5 linked regions of the Canis lupus familiaris genome follow. The protein of the gene in region 4 purifies or fractionates together with the protein of the main gene of each other region. This does not show direct contact. Links are inferred from orthologs where the notes say so. Each region holds a gene or a part of one and is shown on either strand. Other genes may lie near its edges.

The links.
Region 1: the proteins of CHD4 (region 4) and SIN3A purify together in Homo sapiens (affinity purification with mass spectrometry; 3 studies listed by BioGRID, with this or other methods). This does not show direct contact. The link is inferred for Canis lupus familiaris from reciprocal best matches to the Homo sapiens genes CHD4 and SIN3A.
Region 2: the proteins of CHD4 (region 4) and PARP1 purify together in Homo sapiens (affinity purification with mass spectrometry; 4 studies listed by BioGRID and IntAct, with this or other methods). This does not show direct contact. The link is inferred for Canis lupus familiaris from reciprocal best matches to the Homo sapiens genes CHD4 and PARP1.
Region 3: the proteins of CHD4 (region 4) and SRRM1 purify together in Homo sapiens (affinity purification with mass spectrometry; 3 studies listed by BioGRID). This does not show direct contact. The link is inferred for Canis lupus familiaris from reciprocal best matches to the Homo sapiens genes CHD4 and SRRM1.
Region 5: the proteins of CHD4 (region 4) and SMARCC1 purify together in Homo sapiens (affinity purification with western blotting; 6 studies listed by BioGRID, with this or other methods). This does not show direct contact. The link is inferred for Canis lupus familiaris from reciprocal best matches to the Homo sapiens genes CHD4 and SMARCC1.

Annotation. Positions count from the first base shown.
Region 1 is NC_049251.1:38,711,407-38,714,906, forward strand, and holds part of SIN3A (paired amphipathic helix protein Sin3a), read right to left. Parts: intron 2,501-3,500; coding exon 2,394-2,500; intron 1,690-2,393; coding exon 1,407-1,689; intron 1,031-1,406; exon of another isoform or gene 787-1,030; intron 360-786; coding exon 108-359; intron 1-107. UniProt on the Homo sapiens protein: Acts as a transcriptional repressor. Corepressor for REST. Interacts with MXI1 to repress MYC responsive genes and antagonize MYC oncogenic activities. Also interacts with MXD1-MAX heterodimers to repress transcription by tethering SIN3A to DNA.
Region 2 is NC_049228.1:38,456,305-38,459,804, reverse strand, and holds part of PARP1 (poly [ADP-ribose] polymerase 1), read right to left. Parts: intron 1,857-3,500; coding exon 1,691-1,856; intron 1-1,690. UniProt on the Homo sapiens protein: Poly-ADP-ribosyltransferase that mediates poly-ADP-ribosylation of proteins and plays a key role in DNA repair.
Region 3 is NC_049223.1:74,414,054-74,417,553, forward strand, and holds the end of SRRM1 (serine/arginine repetitive matrix protein 1), read right to left. Parts: intron 1,999-3,500; coding exon 1,789-1,998; intron 1,267-1,788; coding exon 1,162-1,266; 3' UTR 235-1,161; downstream 1-234. UniProt on the Homo sapiens protein: Part of pre- and post-splicing multiprotein mRNP complexes. As a component of the minor spliceosome, involved in the splicing of U12-type introns in pre-mRNAs. Involved in numerous pre-mRNA processing events.
Region 4 is NC_049248.1:7,660,347-7,663,846, forward strand, and holds part of CHD4 (chromodomain-helicase-DNA-binding protein 4), read right to left. Parts: coding exon 3,357-3,500; intron 3,267-3,356; coding exon 3,178-3,266; intron 3,075-3,177; coding exon 2,941-3,074; intron 2,621-2,940; coding exon 2,476-2,620; intron 2,363-2,475; coding exon 2,197-2,362; intron 2,143-2,196; exon of another isoform or gene 2,003-2,142; intron 1,917-2,002; coding exon 1,819-1,916; intron 1,710-1,818; coding exon 1,580-1,709; intron 1,190-1,579; coding exon 1,118-1,189; intron 815-1,117; coding exon 677-814; intron 418-676; coding exon 309-417; intron 198-308; coding exon 65-197; intron 1-64. UniProt on the Homo sapiens protein: ATP-dependent chromatin-remodeling factor that binds and distorts nucleosomal DNA. Acts as a component of the histone deacetylase NuRD complex which participates in the remodeling of chromatin.
Region 5 is NC_049241.1:41,739,512-41,743,011, reverse strand, and holds part of SMARCC1 (SWI/SNF complex subunit SMARCC1), read right to left. Parts: intron 1,433-3,500; coding exon 1,329-1,432; 3' UTR 1-1,328. UniProt on the Homo sapiens protein: Involved in transcriptional activation and repression of select genes by chromatin remodeling (alteration of DNA-nucleosome topology).

The DNA of each region.
Region 1 (3,500 bases), on a different chromosome or scaffold from region 4:
CCAGTAAAACTTAGGGAACATAATAATGGTTATTCAAGTTCTCAGACCAGATGCCCTCAGCATGTGACCTGATTAATTAAGACATGCTGAAAGGGCAACTCTCTTACCTGGTATGTGTGCAAAATTTCCAAAAATGCTTTGTAGATGTCTGGTTGGCCCTGGAACCTGTTCTTGATTTTATTAACATAGTTGATGGCATGATTAAACTCCACAGGCTGATTGTTCTGCAAGGATGGGGCCGTTCCCAACGAGATTGTCACTGGTGTATGAGGCTGGACAGGTGGAGAGCGTGGGGATGCATATGGTGGGAGAGGGGGTGTCTGCTGACTGGCTGGAGTATGTGCTTGTAGTTGGGAAGGCTAAAAAGAAAAAAAGTCATTCTCCTCAGAAATACAGATGGTCTGACATAGGAAAGAAAGGTCAAACTAAAGAGAAACAAGGTGTCTGATCAACAAATGTACTTTATTTACTCTGACCAGGCCAGTTAGCCCAACTCAAATCACACTGGGCAGGCATGGGGAGTGCAAGGGCTCACACTCTCTAATACAGATATTTTTGTTTCAAATTTTCGAAATACAACCTGAGAAGTGGCTACATCTCCAATTACAGGGAAGAATTTTTCTAATGCAATTTTTAAGCTCACTCAACAGGTGCAAACATAATAAGAAAAAAAAAAATCAACCCTTACTCTCCATAGATCTTTAATGTCAAAAGACACTTGTTGCAGAATTCCACATAAAAATCTTCTAAACCACCTCTGTCCAATAGAACTCCAGTGATGGCAATGTTCTTTCATATTGCACTGTCCTATAGAATATAGCCACTAAGCTACCCAGGGCTACTGAGTACTTGAAATGTAGCCAGTACAACTGAGAAACTGAATTTATTTTAATTAGTTTAAATTTAAACACAGCCATATGTGGCTAGAGGCTACTGTATCAGACAGTGCAGTTCTAGAGCAAGTACACACCACCACCATCATCACCACCAGCAACGGGATCTTCTGCTTGGCTTGCCATGACCTAATCTGGTAAATGGAGTGACTTTTATAAAATGATGACCCCGTGGGCAGTAACATAATCTGATTATCAGATGATCATTTCTGCCTGTGCCATCAAAGTACTACTACACAATAAAGTTGCCATCTGTTGGGATGCTCATGGGTTCACAAGGCAGGAGGTGGGGACAAAATAAGTTCTTTATAAGTTATGGATGTGTTGATCTAAACAGATACCTAAGTATGTGGAAGGTAAATGTGAACCATCTTATACCAATGTGACTACTTCAGCTTCTGTGATGAAATCACCACAACTGATGTCTCTAAATTCTATATAAAGGGGAAATATCAAAGGAGGGTGCTTTCTAGGTATGCATTTTACCTGATGCAACGTATTCCAAGTGCTCACCTTGCTGACTTTGGCAGGTGGGGGCTGAGGAGCTGGTTGGGCAGGAGCTGGGGCTGACTGGGCTGAAGGCTGAGAAGGATGCTGGGGTGGTGGCTGAGGCTGGGGCTGGATGCCATGGGTGGGGATCTGATGAACCTGGCCAGGAGTTGTCACATTCACCATGTCATTGGTTTGCACCTCAATCTTGTAGCCAGGGGGCAAGAAGGTATTGAAGCCCATAATCAGGTCGGGATGTCCTTTGAACAGCTGGGACACACGACTAATCACTCCTGGAGTGTCAATGCTGATTAAAACAAAAAACAAAACATGTACATACAAACACACACACACACACACACACACACACCACAAAAAGTTAAAGTGGCAAGCTTTACCAATACCCTAGTAAGAAAAAAATGCACATTCCACTAGGTTCTCTGAATAGGAAAACATGTAAAATCAACCTGCATATCACCAAATCAACAAAATACAAAGAACTCTGAAATTCCAAAGCAATTTTAGCCTCATATTCAAAGAGGTTTGGTCACAATTTTGAACACAACATATATTCACGATAACAGTCCTAACAAGCAGATCCTTAACAGCATATCTAAAGCAGCAACTCCCACGCAGGACCCACTCTCTACCACATGAGGATAAATCATTGTGTGTTCACAGTTTTCACGAGTTACTCTAGCAAGTGAACCACGCCAGAATATTAGCGTACCCTACGTCAACTCCGAGACCAGGTGGGGCTCATCACTATCCTTCTACTTCCCTGATTGAGATGACGTGCTAAGGAAAATTAACCAACAGGGTGAATACAAAGTCCAGGACCCATAATCGTCATCAAGAAAGCAATACATGAAATAAAGACATGATCCTAAAAATTAAACTCCCCAAAAGGAGGCATCCTTTATCTTTCAGCGTACGAAAATAAGCAATATCCTCCCTCCAAAAGCAACATTTCAAGCACAAAGCTTGAATACAACCACATAGATCTTTTACCTCTGAGATTTAAATTCCTTCATGATGTCAAGGAAATCATTGTAGACCTGAGGCTGACTACCAAACTGCAGCTTCACCTGGTCAAGATAGGACAGCGCATCCTCCACCTGAGGCAGGGATAAATCTCAAGGTTATAAAAAGAAAATAAGCCAAGAATTATTTAAAACAAATGATTTATGCCTAAACAAAATTAACATGAAAATAAAATGAAATAAAAATATATAATAAATATACAAGAAAGTATTAAACATTAGTATGGATGCCCATAAAACTCAAGCTTAAAATAAAAATCAATTCATAAAATTTATAGCCTTGCTTTAGATAATTTTGGGGAGAATGATTAGTGAAAAATCATCACATTAATATCATTCACTTATTCATTTCACAAGTATCTACTAAACTACAACATACCGTGCCAGGCCCAACATGAATTACTAAGGAGTCAATGACAAACAAGGCACAGTCCCTGCTCTACAGAAGTTCATTCACATCTAGCCGGGAATCCTGATACAGTAGGGTACGTGGGTGATCACAAAATGCCCAGAGAGCACATGGGAAGGGCACTTCTGCACTAAGAAAAACCTATGGGCACATAAGGGAGGAGGAGGGCTTCCCCAAGAAGTGATGTCTAAACTGAGTCCTAAGGATGAGTACAAGTTAGCCAAAGTGAAGACAGACCTACAAAGTCAGAGGAAGCAGCATGAGCATAATCCCAGACAGGACACCATCTGGTACACTGGGAAAACACAGTTTAGTTTGGCTGAAGGATCTGTGGTGAAGGGGAAGAACGGTGGCAGGAAGAGTGACAAGAGAGGAGACCGAAGAGGAAGCAGGGCCTAGATCCCAAAATGTCCTGCAAATCTTGTTAAAAAACTGTTTAGGGGAGAGGCACATGGGTGGCTCAGTAAGTTAAGCGTCTGACTCCAGCTCAGGTCATGATCTCAGGTTTCTGGGATAAGTCTCCAATCTGGCTCCAAACTCAGTGGGGAGTCGACTTGTCCCTCTGCCCCTCCCCTTGCTCATACTCTTGCACATGCTGTCTCTCTCAAATAAATAAAATCTTTAAAAACAAAACAGAAACAAACAAAAAAGCAGTTTATGGGTGCC
Region 2 (3,500 bases), on a different chromosome or scaffold from region 4:
AAAAGACATCTGCAAAAGACAAAAGACCACTATCCAAAATACATGAACAACTCTAAAACTCAAGGAAAGAACATGAAAGATGAATGGCAAAATATCCAGACTCTTTCCCAAATAGAGATGCAGATGGCAATAAGCACACGAAAAGATGCTCCACATTGTAGGGTATTAGGGGACTGCAAACCAACTCAAGACACCTGTACACACCCATCAGAATGGTTAAAATCCTGAACCCAGACATACCAAGTGCTAGTGAGGGAGTGATGGAAATGCAAACTGGTACAGCTGCTTAGAGAGCTGGTTTGCGGGTTTCTTTTCTTTCTTTTTTTTTTTTTTTAAGATTTTATTTATTTATTCATAGAGACAGAGACACAGGCAGAGGGAGAAGCAGGCTCCATGCAGAGAGCCCGATATGGGACTCAATCCAGGGTCTCCAGGATCACGCCCTGGGCTGCAGGCGGCGCCAAACCGCTGCACCACCGGGGCTGCCCCTGGTTTGCGGGGTTTCTTACAAAATGAAGCCTACGCTTCCCCAGAGGATGAGCAGTCATGCTCTTTGCTTTCTATCCAAATGAAAGTCTGCACAAAATTTACACATGGATGTGCACCTAAGTCTGCACAAAAATTTACACACGGATGTTCACAGCACTTTTATTTGCATTTACTGAATCTTGGAAGCAACCAAGATATCCTTCCTAACGAACAGACCGTGGTCCATCCAGACAATGGAATGTTATTCAGGGTTAAAGGGAACGGAGCCATCAAGCCCCGAAGAGACACAGAGGAACCTGAAATGCCTGTTAATTATTAAGTAGAGAAGCCAATCTGAAGAGACTACATACGAATGACTCCAAATACAGATGACACTTGAACAAAGTGGGAGTTGGGATGTTGACCTTCCTCGTGCACTGAAAACCTATGGGTCACTTGAGTCCCCTGAAACCTTTTTTTTTTTTAAAAGATTTTATTTATTTGATAGAAAGCAAGCGAGTGTGAGCAGGAGGAGTGTGAGCAGGAGGAATGGCAGAGGGAGAAGCAGACTCCCCACTGAGCAGGGAGCCTGATGTGGAACTTGATCCCAGGACCTGGGATCATGACCTGAAGGCAGATGCTTCACTGAGTGAGCCTCCCAGGTGCCCCACAATACCCCTGAAACTTAACTACTAACAGCCTACTGTTCACGGGAAGCCCTACTGATAACCAACAGTTAACACATCCTTTGTTATAAGTATTAAATATTGAACTCCCAATAAGGTAAACCTCAAAAAAGAAAATGTTATTAAGTAAACACATTTATAGTAGTGTTGAATTTACTGAAGATTAGACAGAAGCAGACCAGTTCAAACCCATGTTGTTCAAAGGTCAATTGTGTATTGTCCAAACCCATACAATGTACACTACCACACGTGAATCCTTAAACCTTGGACCTGGGGTGATAATGAAGGGTCCACTTGAACACATGTACCGCTGTGGAGGGAGACAGAGGGAGAGGCCCTGCCTGTGTGGCGGCAGGAGGTAAATGGGAAAACTCGTTGAAAAACAAAAACAGCCTACCATAGGCAAGCCAAGGAGGTGCTGCCGAAATCACAGGTAACAAAGCTGAAGGGCTCCCCACCCCCCAGAAGAGGTCCCCAGGGAAGCTGCCCAGGTGGGACTGGGGGTCTGCACCTGCTGCCCCCAGGTCCATACACACCTGTCACGCCTCCAGCCTCCGCAGTCTTTTTGACTTTCTGCTGGTCATCCCACCTGAGTTCAGAGAACCCGTCCACCTCCACGTCAGGGTGCCGGATGGAGTGGCCGACCTTCCAGAAGCAGGAAAAGTGGTACCAGTGTGGGACTTTTCCATCGAACATGGGTGACTAGGAGAGAACAGAGGGAGATGAGTGAGCAGCCTCAAGCCCAGCCCTTGGCAGCTGGCCCTGTCCCGTGTCATGTGAGAAAATGCATCCCAGTCCACAGTTCTCAAGATCTTCCCCAACAGCTGTCTGCTGAAGGTGGGAGTCTGTTCTCAGGACATGGGACACAGATGGGAACAGGGGAGCTTCTAAACAGAACCTAGCCCCAGAGGCCTTCTAACCACAGGCTTCACGCTTCAGTGACATGACTTCCCTCCCAGCATCCTGGAATGCACACAGGACCCCCGCTGCTGCCCCTGTGGGGCCTGTGTGGCCCAGAAAGGGTTCCCTTAGTGCGTCTGCAGTTAAAATAATGAGGAACAAGTCCCAAATAATGAGCAAGGCAGAGAAACTGTGTCAGGAAACAGTGTCAAGCTGGCGGTCTGGGGAGCAGATGACAGAAGTCCCCAGGGCCTGGAGCCAGACTATCAGCTCCCTCACTGGCCTCTGGGAAGTCTGGCCAGGGGGGAAAGGTGCTTCCCCTCTCATGGTGGACTTCCTCTTTCCTTTGATGCTTCATACTCAACAGGCTGCTGACTCCACAGCACCAGGCTCTTCTCCCTGTGTGGTGTCACCTTTGGTCTCCTGGGCCCCTAGCACCTCTGGCTTCAGAGAAGGCACAGTGGTGGTGACCAGGCACAGTGGGGCTAATGCTGGCACTTACTTGGTCCCTGGCCCTCTTCGCAAGCCATCACACGTAACCTTCAACTACCTCTGGGTGGCAACCAGCATCCCCGTCCACAGATGTCTGCGGCAAGTGACTCAGCCTGACTGCACCGACACCAAGTTTTAGTCCACTACTCTGCTCGGCAGGAAGAGCTACCGAAACACACAAACTTTTTTTTTTTTTTTTTACACAAACGGTTCTGATCAAGGCAGAAGAGGCTCCAAATATCTGCCTTTATAGAAAATAAAGCTAAATGCCACACAGATGGAATAAAAGCATTAAAACAGCATCAAAAATAAATACCACAAATTTTTGGATGGAACAGTCTGACAGGGGAAATATTCTGGAAAAACAGTGATGAGTTCTCCCACCAAGCCCCCTCCTGCTGGGAGTGGCCTCTTAATCAGTATAATACATGCAGAGGGAGGGTTCAGGCCAGGGTACTTCAAGGACTCCCTAGCATCAAGCAGCCTGGTTTACAGCACAATAGCTCTTCCCTGGGCCCTGAATGCTCCACTGCCCTATTCAGAGCAAGTGGCACCTTCCCATCTCCCCAGAAGGTTCCTTACAAGCTCCTCCTTGCTAAGAAGGATCCATTTGGGCCATTATTCAATGTCCATGTCCTGCACTAGGCTGGAAGCTCCCGGAAGGGCAACAATGCCCACCTTGGTACCATCATGCAATGCCTACTCATAGAGGACACAGAGAGAGTGTGGAACACCCCAAGTTTGGAGATAAGAAAGGGAAAGGATGGGGGAAGTCCTGCTCTGGAAAAGATGCCCTCCCAACAGAACAAAAGATGGTGCCCCCACCCCCCAAAAAGGCATTTCAGAATGGACTTGCATTTCAGCTCTCAAACTTCCAACAAGGCAGGCGAAGCGTATTCCACCTTGCTGTACATCTGCAGAGACTGGCACTTGGGCTCCTTTTGCCTCCGTGTC
Region 3 (3,500 bases), on a different chromosome or scaffold from region 4:
GCATAGGTGTTCCCATCTCACCACACACTTTGCCTTCACAGCACTTACTGCACTCATTATTAAAATAAAGACGGAAAAATAATTTCACCATTTATTTCCCTTGCCCAATCCTCAGTGTGCCAAAGGTGCCAAGGGGGGTAAAAACATAGGCTTAACTAAGATTTCTATTAAAAAAAAAAAAAAAGGTGGGTTCCTGCAGTATTGAGACGGTTAAGTAAAAGTGAGTGGCCAACATTTTTAAATTTAGAAATTTATTCTGTTTAATCCACAAGCTTTATATAGCTTTAGTTTAAAAAAAAAAAAAACAAAAAAACAAAAACAGTGAAAACAAGACACTATTTCAAAGTCTGGGCCCTTCCAGCCTTCCAAATACGAGAGCTCTGAAAGTTGTATATACCAATTGGAAGAACAAGACAAAATTATGAATGGAGCCATGACATTTCATAAAACAAACTTTTATATAACTGAAGGATCCTTCCTGGGACTAGTTAATTGCCTTTACAAAAAAACACAACAGAATAGAATGAATTCCAGTGTTCCAAATCAACTTGTTACACATCAATATAAACCCACAGTGTCCTGGCAAACAACATGCTTTCATTTTCCATCTCGTCCTAGAGCTCGAATCCTGATTCATTTCAGCAGAGACTCCACAGGCAACAGGAAAGATTGTGGCATTAAAATATTCATTTATACTTTGTGGTAGTTCAACAGTGGTCTTATTTCTGGGCAAGCTTGCAAACCATACAAGGTTGGAAGCATCATAACTTAAATGGGTGCTAAGACTCAAATGAGAAAAAAATAAAGAAAAAAAAAATGACAAGAAAGGAAAACCTCTGGGAATAGCCAAGGCCTTTAAAGAAACCATAAAAATGCCAACAATATTGAAACCCCCTTTTTTAAAAAGAGGATTTTTTTTTTGGCTTAAAATATTTCACTCTAAATGAATTTATGTCAGCTGTCAATGAAAGAATGTCACTAATACACTGTGGACACCTTTTGCAATGTAAATCCATGCCCCTTTTTTTTTTACATGGTGAACTTCAACCTAGCAATTATTACAACAAATGTTATAGTCTAAAGCTCAAACACATTTTAGCAATTTTGAAATTGAATTGCATACAAACCAAATAAAATGTACATCGTGACACACATTCCCGCCTAAGACTGTGGGGACACTTGAGCCTTCCGCATCGACCTCAGCGCCTTTTCACGCAGGTGCTTCTCTAAGTCGTCGAGGTTGTCTTCAGGCTCACTCTCCGTTTCCTAAAACCAGAGGGGCCACACTGGTGAGTCCTGACACACTGGCAGAGAGGTGTAGGGTGCAAGGGCAGAACCACATCATGGCAGTGACTGCACAACTCTAATACACTAAAACCCCCTCAATCAGCTGCACAACTCTATGAATATACTAAAAACCCCTCAATCATATACTTTCTTTTTAAATTTACTTTACTTAAGTACTCTATACCCAACACAGGGCTTGAACTCACAACCCTGAAACCCTGAGGTTAAGAGTTGTGTGCTCTACTGAGCCAGCCAGGCACCCTTGAGTGCCTTTTAATAGGTGAATGGCACGTTAATTATATCTTAAAGAAGTTATTTTTTAAAAATATACAGTAAGCATTTGGCAGCCATTCATATTCTTCTCCTTCGTCTTGGTAGATATCAAGAATGAGGATAGATCAGAAGAGTTAGCTAACAGCCGAGTAGCCATTATTGTAAAAAAATTCTTTTCTTCTCAACAAGTGACCAAGCGATCTGTAGAAGTCTAAGACACACACGTACCTTCTTAGGCTCGGGCTCTGCCTCCGGTTCCTCCTGTGCTGATGTGGTCGTGGGGGCCGCAGGGGCCGTGGGAGTGACAGCTGCTGCAGCGGCTGCTGCCATGGCCTTTTCCTTCTTGTGTTTTTTGTGCTTCTTGTGCTTCTTATCCTTTTTGTGTTTCTTGTCCTTCTTTTTCTTCTTTTTCTTTCCACCTCCTTCTGGGTCTGAGTTCTAGAAATCCAGAAAAATCCCAACAATAACATCAATCAGATTAAAATGTTGTCCAATAAACGTTTTACTTTCTCAAGGGAATAATTAAATGGACAAATCTCAGGAGTCCCCAAGGCTTTGGGGGAGGGGGAGCCCAAGGGCAATCCCTGCCAAGAAAAGTATGAAAACCACATTGCAAGTAAAGATGCTCTTCCCAGATTTTAAGATTTTAAGATGCCTGGGTGGCTCAGTGGTGAAGCGTCTGCCTTTGGCTCAGGATGTGATCCTGGGATCTGGGATCAAGTCCCACACTGGGCTCCTTGCGTGGAGCCTGCTTCTCCCTCTGCCTATGTCTTTGCCTCTCTCTCTCTCTCTCTCTCTCATAAATAAATAAAAGTTAAAAAAAAAAAAAAAAAGTCAGAATGGACCCTGAAGGACCTTTCTGATCTCCCCCACATTAAACCAAATTTCCCAACCATGAGAGGCCAGTCAGGTGTCCAGGATCCCAAGCTACCTCCAAATATAGGGAAAGCAACATGTGCAAAAGAGAAGTCTCTGAACTCAGCTAGACTTCAGGTGAATCTGGCTCCTGAACCTGTTCACCATTTGACCTCAAATATTTTTCTAAGCTCCCTCTGTAAACCTAAATGGGTACAGCAGTCCCCAATAAAGCTGTCAGGGTCTATCTGTAAACTGCCCACAATACTAGCCTAACAGGTGGCAGGCTTTCAGTAAGTACAGTTATTATTCTAAACACACACTCATGTGAATGCCCCATTCTCCAGCCACTGTTACAGCTTCTCCTGGCTCTAGACTGGAAATTGTTCCTTAATGCATAACCACTGACCGTTGAACAACATGGGGGATTAGAGGCAACAACTCTCCATGCAGTTGAAAACCTGTATATAACAAGCCCTCAGTCTGTACATAGACCAGAAGCCTTATGGGTAACATAAACAGTCACTGAACACATATTTTGTGCGTTATGTACATTTTATGCTATATTCTTACAATAAAATAAACTGCAGAAAAAAACATTAAGTATAAGGAAAAAAAAAGTATAAGGAAGAAAAAACACATTTACAATGCTGTACTGTATTCACCAAAAATTTCCATGTGTAAGTGGCCCCGCTCAATGCTATTCAAGGGTCCAACTGTTAACGCCAAAATTATGCAAAGGGCAATTCTGCTGTAATTGAATTCCATCTGTAATTCTCAAATTTCACATTTGTAAGCAGTTACTTAAAATTCCTCAATCCATTCAATTACTTTGTAAAGTAATTCAGGCAACCCGACTGCTGACATGGACATCTAACTACTGACTTCATACAATAAAGAAACCTATTCAAGATCAGATTAATGATTCATAGAGGGGATGATATAGTTTAAACTCCAATACTTTAATATCCCAATGACATTTAAACTTCACAAGGTAAAAACAAGTGTTATTCTTATTTATGCAACTTTTTTTTTAATTAAAGATTTTATTTATTTATTCATGAGAGAGACACACAGAGAGAGGC
Region 4 (3,500 bases):
TACAGTCCCTTCTGCATTTCAAAGGCTGTCACTTCAATACTATATTCCTCCCTATCCTGCTCACCTTGAACCTTCGGGCTAGAAACTTATTCTTGATCTCTAAGAAATTGCCACGATTCATTTCACCCTTGAAAGGTTCATTGAGGATGGCATAGCGTGGGTCATTCTGGATGTCCTGCCACCGGGCATAGCCATGGCTATTGGAAAATTGCTCAGGAAAAACAAAACAAGGAAAGCAGAAACTTCAAACAGTAGGACCTTCAGAACCCTTTACCAAGAACCTCAGCCCAGACTCCAGCAAAGGATACTTTATGATGCCAGCCAGCAGCCAGTAGTCGTGCCGCCGATGCCAAATCTCGTAAGTCTTCTTAGTGACTGTGGCTGCCCGCTCCTCATTCTGCCAAAGGGAGTGCAACTCTGAATAGGAATTTGGGGAAGGTGGAGAAGAACAAGAGAGGCAAATATCTGTAAGAATTCAAAAAGCTATTTATTCCTGGCCCACAGATGCCATCTTAGGAGTAGGCCTCTGGCTTTCTAACATAGAGTCAGAGGAATGTGCAATCAACTTGGCAGTCCCTTATCTGGTAGAGGTAAAATCTTTGTATCCTGGCCTCTGACAAGAACCCTACTTTCACTTCAGATCCTTCTAACCCCAGTTGGTCCCTCAATGTCATACCAGTAAAACCACCATCTGCAATATTGAACATGAAACGTTGTTTGATATTTTTTTTCTGCTTCTCATCATTCAGGTCCTTGGGGGTCTCTCCATTCTGAAGCATCACCTCTTTTTTCTCTTCTTCTTCTTTTTTCTCTTCTACAGGATATGCAGAAAAAAAATGTCAGCTCCAGACAAAAGCATAGCACCTTGGTCCTTACCCACAGCACTATATGCTCTAAGCATGCAGCCACCTTCACCCTTTCTCCACACAGGTATTTCTCAAACCCAGAAAAATGTCACTGGCCCGTGACAATCATATGTAGGGACAGTTGGGAGTCTTTTAGCTTGGGATTAAATAGTTATATGGGTGTGAGAAGCCAGGGGGTGTACCAGAGATAAAGTCCTTGCATCTAGTTTTAGAGTCCTTTTTAGTCACGATCAGCTTCTCCAAACACTCACCTTTGTCCTCTACCACAATGGGGGTCAGATCTACTGCTGACTTCTCTTCTACCTTCTCCACGTCAGCAACACCTGGGGGGAACAGATGGGATTTGAGAGTATATAAAGAACGTTCTGGGGTGCCTGGCTGGCTGTCGTTAGAGCATGCAACTCTTGATCTCGGGGTTGTGAGTTCGAGCCCCATGGTGGGTACAGGTTACTTAAAAATAAAATCTTTATAAGAAAATAAAAATAAAGAAGATTCTCCTCTGTCCCACACCAGTTAAGACTGGGGGACAGTCTTAACCCCAAATCTCAATGACTAACATCATAAAAAATGTCTTAAGGGATTAAAAACCCTCAATATAAAATCAAGGGTAGGGGATTCTCCAGGGTGTCACTTCCTCCTGACCTTTCCTTAGCCCAGCTAGAAGTACCTAAGTTTCACAGGGATCTGGATGTAATACTTGGAAATGTGGATACCTTTGGGCTCTGTCTCCATTGGTTCCTCTGTTCTCTCCTTCACCTCCGCCTTTTCTACTTTCTCCTCAACCTCAGGAGGTTCAACAAGGACTTTTTCATCCTCTGAGGCAGGGGCAGGGGGTTGTGTACACTTCAAAGGAAAAAGTACATAAGTTGAGGCAGACAGGCCAGCAACTGAAAAGATGAATGGGCTTCTTCATTTATCTTCCGTATGGCATCCGGTCACCCCCATCTCTTACCTCAACAGTGGCCTCCGGAGCTGTAGATTTAACCTCCTTTTCTCCTTCTACACTCTCTTCTTCTTTGAGGCTATTCTCCTCTATTTTTATCCCATCCTCTGCAGACCAATAGAAGGCAATTAATTAGGAAGAAAGTTCTAGATCAGAGAGAAGGTCATGCCTTCTCAGTTGGTCTTATCTTAAAATTGTCCTCTCGTGCCTTTAAGAGCCAGCCCTATTCTTAGGACGGCTCTCCTAAACTGAGAGGGAGATTGCTGTGTGTCCTGCCAGACTCCTCTGTCAGAGCTCAATACAAGGGAGCAGAAGAAACACTGGCAAGGACCAAAAAAAAAAAAAAGAAGAAGAACAGAAAAGGATAGACAGTACAGACAGACTTACCAGCAGGTGGAGCAGGTGCAGGGGTATTGGGTTGTGTGTCCCCCGGAGTGGAGGGTGTAGGAGTCTTTGGAGAAGGTGACCCTGGCTGGGACATTTTCTTATTTTCTTCTACTTCAGCAAGCTCAGGCATGCTCCAACGCCCATTGACATGTTCAAACTCCTGAACCTGTAGCAATGGGACAGGAAGGTGAAGACCAATTCCAGCTCTAGGCTCCTCTCCCGTTTGTCCTCTAGTTTCCCGTAGAAACTCTGAACAATGCAGAGAGGCTTAGGGCTCACCTTCTTTCGAATCAAGGACATGACACCAATCCTGGTAAGGACATGCTGGCGAGACAAGCCTTCTCGGGGGACACCATCAGCAAAGGTCTCAGCCCCATCTGCTCCTGGCTCACATAAATGTCGCATGAAAAGAGATACGTAAGCCCTGTAGCAAAGAAGTGAGAAAATGAGTTCAACAGCAATCAGGCCAACTCCTAGAGGAGATCTTTCCACCAAACAACTCTGGCTCCATCTTAAGATAAAGCTGCCATCACACTGAAGGCCAGTTCTCCAGAACCCACACCATGCCCCAGGTTCTCCTCTAGGGAAACTAGGAACACAAGGAACCCTATTATTAGTGGTTACACCCACCAACTTCAACAGAGGAACCTGCCTGTTTCCGTGTGCAGCCTTGACTAGTACCATGGAACCACCAGAGATCAGAAGTTTTTGCTCTACCATCAGTCATTCCAGCTCTCCACTTACTTGAACTCTTTCTCTGATTTGCCTCGCAGATCTCTCACAAGCCACTGGGTGGTAAAAGCATCCTGAGGTGGCATCCCATACCGCATAATTGCATTAAGAAAGGCTTTTCGCTGGCGAGCATTAAAGCCAAGTACCTAGAGGAAGGAGGAGCCTAAGTGAGAGGGAGTAGGCCTTACTCCATCGATGACCAAGTATCTAGCACTCACCCACCCCACCTTAGAACCAAATGGCACTTACTTCGATATTTCCACCAACACGAGCCAACAGAGGAGGCAATGGCTTATCTTTATCATTCCGCAGGCCCTTACGGCTGGGCCTGCGGGGAGCTGCAAGAAGAAAAGGATGTGTGAGTGATGCTGGTAGGGGTGTGAAACAAAGCAATATTTAAAAAGTCAGCAGAAAGGCATAGCTCTCACCTTCTGAACGTTCATCAAAGTCTTCATCACCTTCCTCTGAGGCCACTGAATAATCGGACTGGTTGTCGGACTGGTCGTCCTGCCAATCTGGAGGGAGAGAGGGCAGATGAGCGGGGCCCACTGCTCTAGTGGAACGGCCCATGG
Region 5 (3,500 bases), on a different chromosome or scaffold from region 4:
GAGCTCAAGTTAAGGCATTTTTGTGGCTCCTCATCTGGAATGGCATTCTGATCTCCCAGTCTGAGTACCCCAAAGTTCAAAGCATGATGCTCTGATTGCCAACTGAGTTCCTTGGTGCCCCCAGAATCTTCCTGATAACCTTGCGACAGATGGAATGTGAGATCTCAGGAAGGGAAGAGAGAAGGTACGAGAGGCCCTTGATCCTGCCCCACTTCTCCAATCCCATCCCAAACCTAAAGTACCGCTTCACTAAACCCCACTCACCCTGGACTGCAAGAGGTAGTTTGGGGACTTGAACCCCCAGCCAATCCTAACCAACTTCCATGAGCTAAAATGTTTAGCACTATCTACTCACTTTTTTTTTTTCCGTTTTAGAGTTTTTTTTTTTTTTTTTTTAAAGGCGGGGCAAAGAATGAATACAAAGCAGTGACTAGTGGACTAGACTCACTGGGTAGTCATTGCCATAGGCTCTTAAAATGTTCCTGGCTAGTCTAGGGAACAAAGGAATGCCTCCCCCAAGCCCCACTCCTAATCCAACGAAGCACCTGCATAGAAAGCCAGAATCGGTGGGCCTGGGGAAGGAGTGGGTCTGCTCTAATGCTTGTGCATACCCCTACCGGGGACTAAAGGGGCGTGTTCTGCCACACAGGGTGGAGGTCCTCACATTCCTCACCAGGAATAAAATCAGTGGGGTCCCGTCCCCATCTCTTTGAATTTTGGTGTGTCTATGTGGGGCAAAAGTCTCATGCAACTTCACCATCAGCACCAATCTTAGCTCAGATTAGCAGAAATAAGGTCACTTATAATGCCTTTAGGTTTGTCCCCTCTGGCTATTCCCTCTGCCCATCACCATTTTTTGGTTCCTATGAACTTAGGATGCTCCCATTTAAAGCAACAATGACAAAAGAAAAAAGAAAACATAATGATTATAAAGCATTATCCACATAAGCATAAGACAAAGCCAAAAACTGCAGGAGAGCAAAAACAATAGACATAAAATTCGAATGTTGATAGGACCTGCAGAGAAACTGTCAGTATACCCCACACCAGGATGGGGGGGGGGGGGGACGCAGGTTACCATTAGGATGACCAGGGCGCACTGTCACTGCAGGCTCCCCGCCTCCCGGCAGGCCGGCAGAGGACCTAACACAAGAGGTGTGGGAGCACGGAGAGGGGTTGGCAAGAGGAACAGGGAAATATGGGATGCGTGCTTGGGGCCGCGAGAAGAAAAATCCTAAAAGAAACCCAAGGAAGCTGAGGAACTCAAGTCTCATCATCTGCCCGGCAGCTGGCGGCGCTGGGTGTGGACGCTGTCCCCGTCTTCCAGGCTAGGGGGCCGCCGACGCTGGAGGGCCTGGAGCAGGAGGCGGAGGGACTCCATCTGCAGGCGGTGGTGGTGGTGGCGGCTGCTGCTGCTGCGGCGGAGGGGCATCTGCAAACACATCCAAGAGGGACTTGTCATTGCTGGAAACAAGGGCTTGGGAGAGAGCCCATTCAGAGAAAAGTGATATAGGAAGGCATTTTCTTTATGGCAGGCAATAAACGCAGCCTCTGAGGCACTGCCGCTACCGCGGGGGGCCATCCGGATCAGGTCCACGCGTACCTCCGGGTCTCGGCTCACATGCTGAGGTGTCTGAATCTGTCCCAACCTCCTTCGAGGCCCAGCCCTTCCAAGAATCACTCCAGACCTTTTCAGAACTTAATTATATTTTGATTTTATTGCATTTTAATGGTTCTAATTTTATTTCTTCAGTTAAATGATAAAGCTCCTTCCTGGGCAAGTTCTGTGTCTTCTTTCTCTCACAGTGCCTGGCCTAGGTGGGCACAAAACAGATTATCAATAACTTCTTGCGGATTAAGTGTCTCCACCAGGGTCAGAGAGCTTCACTCGAGGCAGCTGCTGACAAGCTGGACAGTCCTGGGAGGCCCCACAGCTCCTGAACTGCAGTCCTTGGATTTTTGGCCAAAACTAGGTCAGGTCCTGAAGGGAACAATTAGTATGAGTGTCTGGGGCTCTTTCCTATTTCCACTTTAGCTGCTTAATGTATAGAGGAACCCTAGAGATTATTTAATCCAGGGTTCTTTAAACCTTCTGATTTTGTCAGAAATGAAAACATATGAAACAATTTAAGTACGGCCTTGCTTACCAATCAGTTCACCCAACCTTCCCCCCAGGAGATTTCCATCCAACTACTAAAGCTCTTAAAAGCATTCTGAAGCCCACTGATCTAATCCCTTCCCTTTCCAGCGAAGGAATCTCAGGCTGGAAGAGGGGAACCACCTCACCCAATGAGGCCTACCTGGGATCTGAGAGCCAAGTCAGCGGCTCAGAATCCTGGAAACACTCATTTGTGGCAGGAAGTGGGGGAAGAGAGCACCTGAAACTCAAACCCTCTGTAGTCTCAAGGTGCTGCTCCAAGTGCCCTTCAGGATGAAATCCTGGACAGTGCTAAAGACCAAGGATACTGTTTCTGCAAGGGATGGCAAACTGGTCAACCCTCTTGGCAGGCTAGCATGTTTGCATACTGCCTGGAAGGCAGCGAGGTTAAGTGTTCTCTTGCCAAGGAAAAGAAGTATCTGCTAGACTTCAATCGCTAAGCAATGACTCAAGGGAGATCATGTTTTTCTACACCCAGCTATACTGCTGTCTCTTCCATGCACCTGCACTGTTCTAGCCCCTAGGGTCCAAAGAGAAATGAGATATGCCTGTGTGCAGACAGCCGCCTCCTGGCTCTGGGAAGTCTCCCAGAGTGCTACAGTGTATGCAAAGCACTTCAGAGTCTCACATACCTTGTAAATCCTATATAGTAACATCTACTTGTTCATTTCTTGTTTTCCCAACTAAAGCCCCTGGAGACCAGGAATTCTTGAGTCCTAGCTCTCTGTTCTGTGATAGAAGCTAACTCCTTGGCACATACATGAACCTGTAAATGAATCAGGATCACAGATGCATTTGGAATACTTGCATTTTGGGATCATTCTGAGAAGATCTACAGGAGTAAAGGGCAGGGCAGAGCTTCTGAAGTAGGCCTCTGGAGGCTATGATTGGGAAAGACCAAGGGGTGTACTGGAGGAAAGACCTGGCTTCACACATACTGTCAGATAGACACGGCTCAGTAGCACTTGTGCCTTCTCCACAGAGCCTGCTAGGACCTCCACTTCCTTTTCAACATAACCCCTCAATACTGCTTCTACTAAGTCGCTACTACCAATATCCCAGAGTAGCTACAAGAAACTTGTTATTTCTGCCTTAAACCAATTATTTCCTTCTCTGCACCCTCCACTTTTGAACCCTGTGTCCATAACAAGCTCCTATAGGAAAACAACCAGCAGCTGTGTGTATCTACCAAGATTCAAGATAGACGGGCTTAAACAGGAGTGGGTGAGGAATGTCTTTCTGGCCTCCCCACAGACCTCAGTGTTGAGAGTACACAACATAATGGTTATTGCACACGAGGCCAAACAACTGTAAGTATTTGCAGTCATCATCTGTGCACCTG